Linked DNA regions of Mus musculus. Each later gene encodes a partner of the first gene's protein in a complex. Links are inferred from orthologs where the notes say so. Each region holds a gene or a part of one and is shown on either strand. Other genes may lie near its edges.

Region 1 (3,812 bases):
TTGTATATCATATGTATTTGTGTGTGTGTGTCTGTGTGGGGTGTTGGGGGTGTATGTCTGTCTGTGTGTCTATATGCTGCATGTCTGTGTGTTTTATCTGTATGTCTGTGTCTGTTTGTGTGTATCATGTGTCTGTGTGTGTCTATGTCTGTTGTGTGAGTGTGTGTGTGTGTGTGTGTGTGTGTGTGTGTGTGATATGTGCATATCATGTGTATTTGTGTGTGTGTATGTCAGGTGTGTGTCTGTGCGCGATCCCCATTTTCCCGTCCTGGGTCTACTGACTGCTACCGAGCCTTGTTTGCTGCCTGACCCCCAGGCTGCTATCCAACATCTCTCTCTTCCTGTGCACATCTCTCTCTTCCTGTGCTCTCTCTCCAGGACGCCCCGTACTTAGACCTGGCTCCGTACATGCCTGACTATTATAAACCTCAGTACCTGCTGGACTTTGAAGACCGCCTTCCTAGCTCAGTCCACGGTTCAGACAGCCTCTCCCTAAACTCCTTCAATTCTGTCACCTCCACCAACCTGGAATGGGACGACAGTGCAATTGCCCCATCTAGCGAGGGTAAGTGGCCCTGGGGTGAAAGGAACCAGGCCTGTGCCCTGAAACATTCCCTGGAGCCTCCTAAGCCCGACTGAGCATGACTGAGCCCCACTGAGCATGACTGAGCCCCACTGAGCATGACTGAGCCCGACTGAACCCAACTGAGCCCCACTGAGCCCGACTGAGCATGACTGAGCCCCACTGAGCATGACTGAGCCCGACTGAACCCAGCTGAGCCCAACTGAGCATGACTGAGCCCCACTGAGCCCCACTGAGCCCGACTGAGCCTGACTGAACCCAACTGAGCATGACTGAGCCTGACTGAGCCCCACTGAGCCCCACTGAGCCCGACTGAGCCTGACTAAACCCGACTGAGCCCCACTGAGCCCCACTGAGCCTGACTGAGCCTGACTGAACCCAACTGAGCATGACTGAGCCCGACTGAGCCCGACTGAGCCCCACTGAGCATGACTGAGCCCCCACTGAGCCCGACACCCGACTGAGCATGCCTGCTCCCTCCCAGTTGAACAGAGCTGACCATTTCCAAGATCGTCATTTCCTTGGTTTCTGTGGTAGCTAAAAAACATCGGTCGGGTTTTATGAGCCTTACTAACTTCTCCAGAAGTTTCTAACCTCATGCCCGGGTCAAGGAGAGATGTGCAGCAGTGTGCCCTGAAACTCTTGCCTGAGTCCTGGCTGAGCATCAGCTGCCTGGGGAGGGGTGCCCTGCAGCAGGTTCTACAGAGAGGCTGAGCAAGCTCAGGAGAGACAGACAGGTGGTCTGAGGGGGGCAGAACCAGCACAGTTTCTTGGGCAGTCCCTGCTAGTGTCCCTCCATGGGTCAGAGAGGGCTGCACCTGTCCTGAGACTGAGGAGCCATAGGCGGACGGACCCCTTCATCTCAGATCAGTTGCTAGAAAACCCTGGCTTGCCGGGCGGTTGGTGGCACACGCCTTTAATCCCAGCACTTGGGAGGCAGAGGCAGGTGGATTTCTGAGTTTGAGGCCAGCCTGGTCTACAGAGTGAGTTCCAGGACATCCAGGGCTACACAGAGAAACCCTGTCTCGAAAAAAAAAAAAAAAAACAAAAAAAAAAAAACAAAAAAAAAAAAGAAAAGAAAAGAAAAGAAAAGAAAAGAAAAGAAAAGAAAAGAAAAGAAAACCCTGGCTTTCCCCAGACCTTAGGTCTTTGCCCCACTTTGGTGAGATCAAAGACGCCCTCACTCACTCGGCCTCACCTCTGGGGGTCACCTCTGGGGGTCAGGGGGTCAGATACTCAGTTCTTCTGGCCTTGCTCCCTTGAGACCTGACCTTCCCCATTCTTTGTTCTGCTGTGCCATGGGTCATATGCCCAACTTTGAGACTTGCTGTGAGTAAGATCTGCATTGCAGGAGCTAGCAGTGTAGCTCAGGGGGCAGAACGCTGGTCTAGTGTGTATGAAGCTCTGGGTTCAAACCCCAGCGTTGCACAAACCCAGGCTTGGGGCCAGTGAGATGGCCTAGTGGCTAAAAATCACACCAGGCAAGCCTGACCACGTGACGCTGGTCCCGGGAACCCACCATGTAAGGAGAGAAGTGGCTTTTGAAGCTTGTCCTCTGATTTACATACACACACAGACACACACACACACACACACCATGATAGGGGAAGATACCTGCCATCTCAGCACTTGGGAGGTAGAATCAAGAGGATCAGAAATTCGAAGTCTTTCTCTACTATGTAGCAAGTTCAAGATCAGCCTGTGCTTCATGAAAAGGTTTCAAAAATTTAGTAATAAAAAGACTTGCACTGCTTATTTGCATATGGAACAAGGGAAGAGGACATTCAGACTCTGGCTGGGCCTCATGGGCTACCCTAGAGGAGGAGTCAGAGGGACAAACCTTGAAGAAGCAACCAGGCCACCCATGAATAAAGGTCCCCGCTAAGCCCAGCGATTTATACTGTCTAACTCAAGGCAGAAGGACAGGACCTTGTTTCCACAAGAGCCATGGAGGGAAGGAAGGCAAGAAGTAGAAACTCAGACTCTTTTCTGCCAGAGCAGGCTCTGAGTTGGGAAGGAGTGGCCCTCAGGGCAGCCGAGGTCATAGTTGCAAGTTAGAGAATATGTACTGAGTTCCTCTCCGTCTCTTCTCCTGTGTCTCCCGCCCTCCGCCCCGACGTCCCTCCCTCCACTGCCTGTTTCTAACCCTGAGTTTTATCCCTCGTTTTTATAGATTATGATTTTGGAGATGTGTTTCCAGCAGTGCCGTCTGTACCCAGCACAGACTGGGAAGGTGGGACAGAGTCCTCTGTGACCCTCTTTTCCTGTTTGCAACGTTGCCATGCCAAGCTTGCTGCATGTTTCAGAATCAGCTCCTTATTTCTTATAACAATGTCCGTGGTCATAACGACGCCACAGCTGGTGTTGGAGTAGGTGGAATTCTGCAGTAGGAAACTTGGCCCTTAGCTCTTCTCTCAGAAGTTTTTGCTTTCCCACGGGAGCCTTGGAAGTTACTAGTGAGTGTGGCACACACACTAGGCCACCTGCCCGATTCCAGTCCTTGTCATTGTAAAACAGTGTATGTCAGTGGCCTGGCTCGGTGAAGTGGAAACTTATTCTAGAAAAGTGATGCTTTGAGATACAGGGATTGTGAGCAATCTACCCTGTGAGTATCCAGGAGGAAGATGGAGGCTTGGTCCTTTCAGGCAATCCCTAATGGACTGAGGAAACTGCCCAGGCATAACTAAAATGCCCTACAGGGAGAGCCAGCAAGGTGGCTTGGCAAGCAAAGGCGCTTGGCATCAAGCATGGCCACATGAATTCTATCCCTGGAAGCCACAAGTGGGAGGAGAGAACTGACTTCCCCAAGCCAGCCTCTGACCTCTGCATGCACACACACACGCACGCGCGCACACACACACACAGCATCCTCTGACCTCTGCACACACACAGCATCCTCTAACCTCTGCATACACACACAGCATGCCCTGTCCCATTAATAAGTCAATATGGAGGTTCTCTTAGATTCTTACTGTCTACTGAACATCAATATTGTGGAGACATTTTTCTACCAGCAACCCATGTCTGGGTTTGGACAAATTCACACTCCAAGGTTGTACGACTTACTCAGAGCATGGTCTGTGTTTGATATCGTAAACGTGTGCTCCTTAAATCTAAGGCTGTCCCAGAATCCCTTCCTAAAGAGCTCCTGCCCTGGGGACCCCTTCTTGCCTGAGGTGGGGTCCCTCTGAGCAGTGAGAGAGAGAGTTGATTTCCCATGTGATGTAGA
Region 2 (3,912 bases), on another chromosome or scaffold:
TTTTAAATGAACTTCTTAAGTGTACAGCAAGTGAAAGTAAAAGGATAAATAGCAAGTAGTAGACTGGTAGCCCCACTCCATCAAACTGCAAGGTCACAACATCCAGCAGAGATGACTAGAGTAGCTGATGGAGAGAGCTAACAAAGAAAGCATCCATTAAGTTAGAGATTTACAAATATGAAGCAGAAATCAACTGGGGAAGTTGGGGCAGCCAGCTGGAGTTCCTTTTTAAAAATATATTTTCAGTTAAAATATAATTCCATCATTTCCCCCTCGCCCCAGGCACACCATCCTTCAAAGTCCAAACCACTTCACTGTCCTTCCCCATTCAGGGTCTTTTCCTGGAATGTGCTTCTACCAAACGTCAGCCTGCTTCTCCTTCTCACTTCCCTCAAGCCTTTCCACTCAGGACCACCTGACTTAAAGACAAGCAGGCCGGCTCCAGCTTCTTCTCTGTTCCTCTTCTTTATAGTGTTAAGTACCACGTGGCATTTTCTCGTTTGTTTGCTGTATATGTTCTGTTCTCCACACTGGACTGTAACCCGCAGGAGGGCAGGGATTTTGCTGTCACTAATGTTTTGCTGTGTTAGAAACAAACCCTGTGTCTTTCACATGCTGGGAAAGAAATTTTCCCTATTAATTAATTCATTTATTTATTCACTTTACATTCGGATCACTGCCTCTGCCCCATCCTCCCTTGAGCCCTAGTTAGACCCAGAGTGCTCCATACAGGCCAGGCAAGCATTCTACCACTGGGTTACATCCCCATCCCAGATTCTGATTTTTTTTTTTTTTTATTCCGTGTTCAATTCCTCCGAGTATTAACTTTTTCCTTCAGGGTACATTGCCAATGAACAATTATAGGAAAATTCAATCAAAAAGTGAACGAGGACCAACTCTTTGTTTTTTTTTAAAGATTATTATTATTTATGTGTTTCGTTGTGGGAGTATGCGCATATGTTTGCAGAATGTACAAGGTCAGAAAGCCCTAGATCTGGATCCCCCAGAGTTGAAGTTACAGGCTGATGAGGGCTGCCAGGTGTGGGTGCTGGGTCCTGAACTTGGGTCTTCTGAAAGAGCCTCAAGCACTTTTAACCACCGAGTCATTTCTGTAACCCCACCTTCTGTGTTTATTGAACTCTTGATCCTCCTGCCTCCACCTCTCAAGTACTGAAATTGTTGACATGCGTTTGCTGGGAGACCCATAATTTGGGGGGAAAAAAAAAAAGAAAGAAAGAAAAGAAAAGAGGAAAGGCATGTGACAAGTGAATTGGCACCAAGGCGAGGGAAGGGTGTGTCGTGGGATTCACCATCAGGTGGCGATGTCGCCGGAGGGCGCTGGGAGTCTACGGGACCGCGCCGCTCTTTCCGTGCGCTTCCGCGCCTGCGCTGGGCCAGGCGTGGGGGGGGTAGGGCGAGTCATATGACCCGCTGGGCTTCCTGGCTCCGGCCGTCGCTGCCGCCAGCCTCTGTCTGCCCGCGTCGCGCCAGGGGCCCCGCCGAAGAGCCGTTGGCGGGTTCGGGGCCGATACCCGCTCGTGGGAAAGAGTGTCCGCTGTCGTCCGCGCCCGTCCACGCTCGCAGCCGGCCGCCGCCATGCTGGCGCTCATCTCCCGCCTGCTGGACTGGTTCCGTTCGCTCTTCTGGAAGGAGGAGATGGAACTGACGCTCGTGGGGCTGCAGTACTCCGGCAAGACCACCTTCGTCAATGTCATCGCGGTGAGCAGCCCTCTGCGGGCGGCCTGGCCGGCGTCTCGCGCCTGTCACCTCCCCGAAGGCCGGGCCGGGCGATCCTGCGTGTGTGGGCCTCGGAGTTGTAGCCGGAGGGTCGGCAGCAGGAGGGTCAATTCCACGTTGCGTTTTGGTGGTGGTGGTGGGGGCTGTGCCTTTAACACGGCCTGGAAAGGGTTAATCCGAGTCTGCCACACTTGCTGCCTTTCGGGCCGTAGAGGCTGAAGGGTTAATTCCAACCTGTCACTTGTTCACCCGGACGGGTGAGCCTGGCCTTTTCCAGAACGCCTGCGAAGGGGACGCCTCTCCTAAGTCTCCACTTGGGACGATGGAGTCGCATTGTGAAAGCAGGCAACCCGTGTGGGCGCTTCTGTGAATGCCAGGGGGAGCCTCGGCGCCTCCAGTTCGCTTGGTCTTTGTCACTTGTCCATGGAGCGTCGGAGAGCAAACTGATGACCTAGCTTACTGGGGGAAGCTGTTGGAGAGACCATTCAGATCCCAGTATTTTCTAAGACAGGGAGCAAGGGCGAGGCGAGTCTCGGTTTCTCCACAGCTGATTGTGTTAAACGGGTAGATAGATGGATCTGCATTCAACATAAAGTTTGCAGGCTTTGGTCTTTAGAGAGATTTTTTTTTTTCTTCCCTCTTGCAGAAGGAATTTGTTTGGATTGGGACGTAGCTTATGGAGGCTCAGGGAAGTTGCCTAGTAAATATAATGTGAATTCGGTGGGAGAGTGGTCGTTGAGTTTTGCGTCTTTGATTGGTTGGGAAAGGAATGGGCGTGAATGTCAGTCTTTGGAGCCAAGGAGTCATTGCACAGTTTTAGGGCTGTACTTAGAGGGTTGAGCTTTACAATTGTTCTGATGAGAAGTGGCGGCAGTTCCTAGACCTTCAAGAGGATTGTTGCAATCCTCACACAGGAGACAGCTGAGCTGCCCGACTGGTTTGGCTACACACTGCCCTGGGAAAACCTAGGTAACGTGTGACTCAGTCCCTGTAGTAATAGAGCAACAGGCGTCAGAGAGAGGAGCGGAGGCTCAAATCTCTTTCGAAGATGGCTGAATATATAAGTGTAAGGAAACTTTCCCGAACTTCATGTTAGGCTCTTTCTATGTTGCCTCTACCCCGACCCCAAGAGAACAAGGCAGAACAGACTTTAGACTCTTTCATACTAGAACTTTTCTACAGGCTTCAAGCTGTTCATTTTCTGTTACCCTAGATAAGAATTGGAGTTTCCTCGGGACTCCTGTCCCTTGGGCAAGATCGAAATGGTACACGTGGGTGTGTTGGGATGGCCAGTTGTATTTGCTGCGGAGGAGTTAATGCAAGGACCTGCACCAATGAGTAGGATTTAAGAGATGTACTGCTTACTCTCATGCCTGTATTATCACTGGGCAGTGTAGCTTGATATATATAACAAGCCTGAACTTTTATGCCATGCAGTTCTGGATTTGCAATCTGGATCTTAGCAGCCTTGGGTCTGGTTGAGTCGATTTCTGTTTTCTTGTCTATGAAGTGCAGATAACAATAGAGTCCTTAGCAGAGTTGCTCTGAGGTCTAACCAGGAGGAGGAGGGAAGTGTTAACATGTAGATGGCTGTACTACCCAAAGCAGGCACAAGGAGATACGTTGAGAAAGGACTGAGCCGGGCTCATTTCCTTTGACTCTCAGGCCAGTGTTGTCTACGGTTGCAGATTTATGGCTTGTGGGAAGGAAGCACCTTCAACCCCCCTTCCTTTTGAGTTAGATTCTTTGTAACAACTATCCAATCTCAGCAGTGCTGTCGACCTCCTGCTATCAATATTACACTATTCTTTATGAATTATGGTGGTGTAGGTGAGCTGTTAAAGATCACCCAAAAAAAGAGAGGCCATGTTTAACTTACTTTAGCCATTACAGATTCTGTATATATCATAAAACTTTACACTACCCCCCCCCCATACACACATACATAATTATGGTCTGTCAATTAAAAATGTTAACGTCCAAGACTTGGTGATGCTTACCCGTAATTCCAGCATTAAGGAGGCGAGGCAGGATGATGCTTCCAAGTTTGAGGGTCTGCCTGATGTTGTACACCTACATAACAAGTACCAGACCTGGCAGGGCTACACCGTAAGGAACCCCACCCAACACACCCGGAATAAAAATAATTTCGGGAAAGAAGAAAAAAGGCTGGAC

What was found.
Region 2: the proteins of Plekhm2 (region 1) and Arl8b are in contact, whole or in part, in a crystal structure (PDB 8JCA), measured with the Homo sapiens proteins. The link is inferred for Mus musculus from reciprocal best matches to the Homo sapiens genes PLEKHM2 and ARL8B. Residues at the interface, in NP_055979.2 of Homo sapiens: His70, Phe71, Thr72, Arg73, Arg74, Glu75, Glu103, Ser105, Glu107, Ser108, Tyr109, Arg111, Leu112, Glu115, Glu147, Phe148; in NP_060654.1 of Homo sapiens: Glu22, Thr52, Val53, Gly54, Phe55, Asn56, Met57, Lys68, Trp70, Arg77, Phe78, Arg84, Tyr85, Arg87, Gly88, Val89.

The regions. Positions count from the first base shown.
Region 1 is NC_000070.6:141,636,429-141,640,240, reverse strand, and holds part of Plekhm2 (pleckstrin homology domain-containing family M member 2), read left to right. Parts: intron 1-378; coding exon 379-565; intron 566-2,756; coding exon 2,757-2,816; intron 2,817-3,812. UniProt on the Homo sapiens protein: Plays a role in lysosomes movement and localization at the cell periphery acting as an effector of ARL8B.
Region 2 is NC_000072.6:108,781,659-108,785,570, forward strand, and holds the start of Arl8b (ADP-ribosylation factor-like protein 8B), read left to right. Parts: upstream 1-1,400; 5' UTR 1,401-1,596; coding exon 1,597-1,719; intron 1,720-3,912. UniProt on the Homo sapiens protein: Small GTPase which cycles between active GTP-bound and inactive GDP-bound states.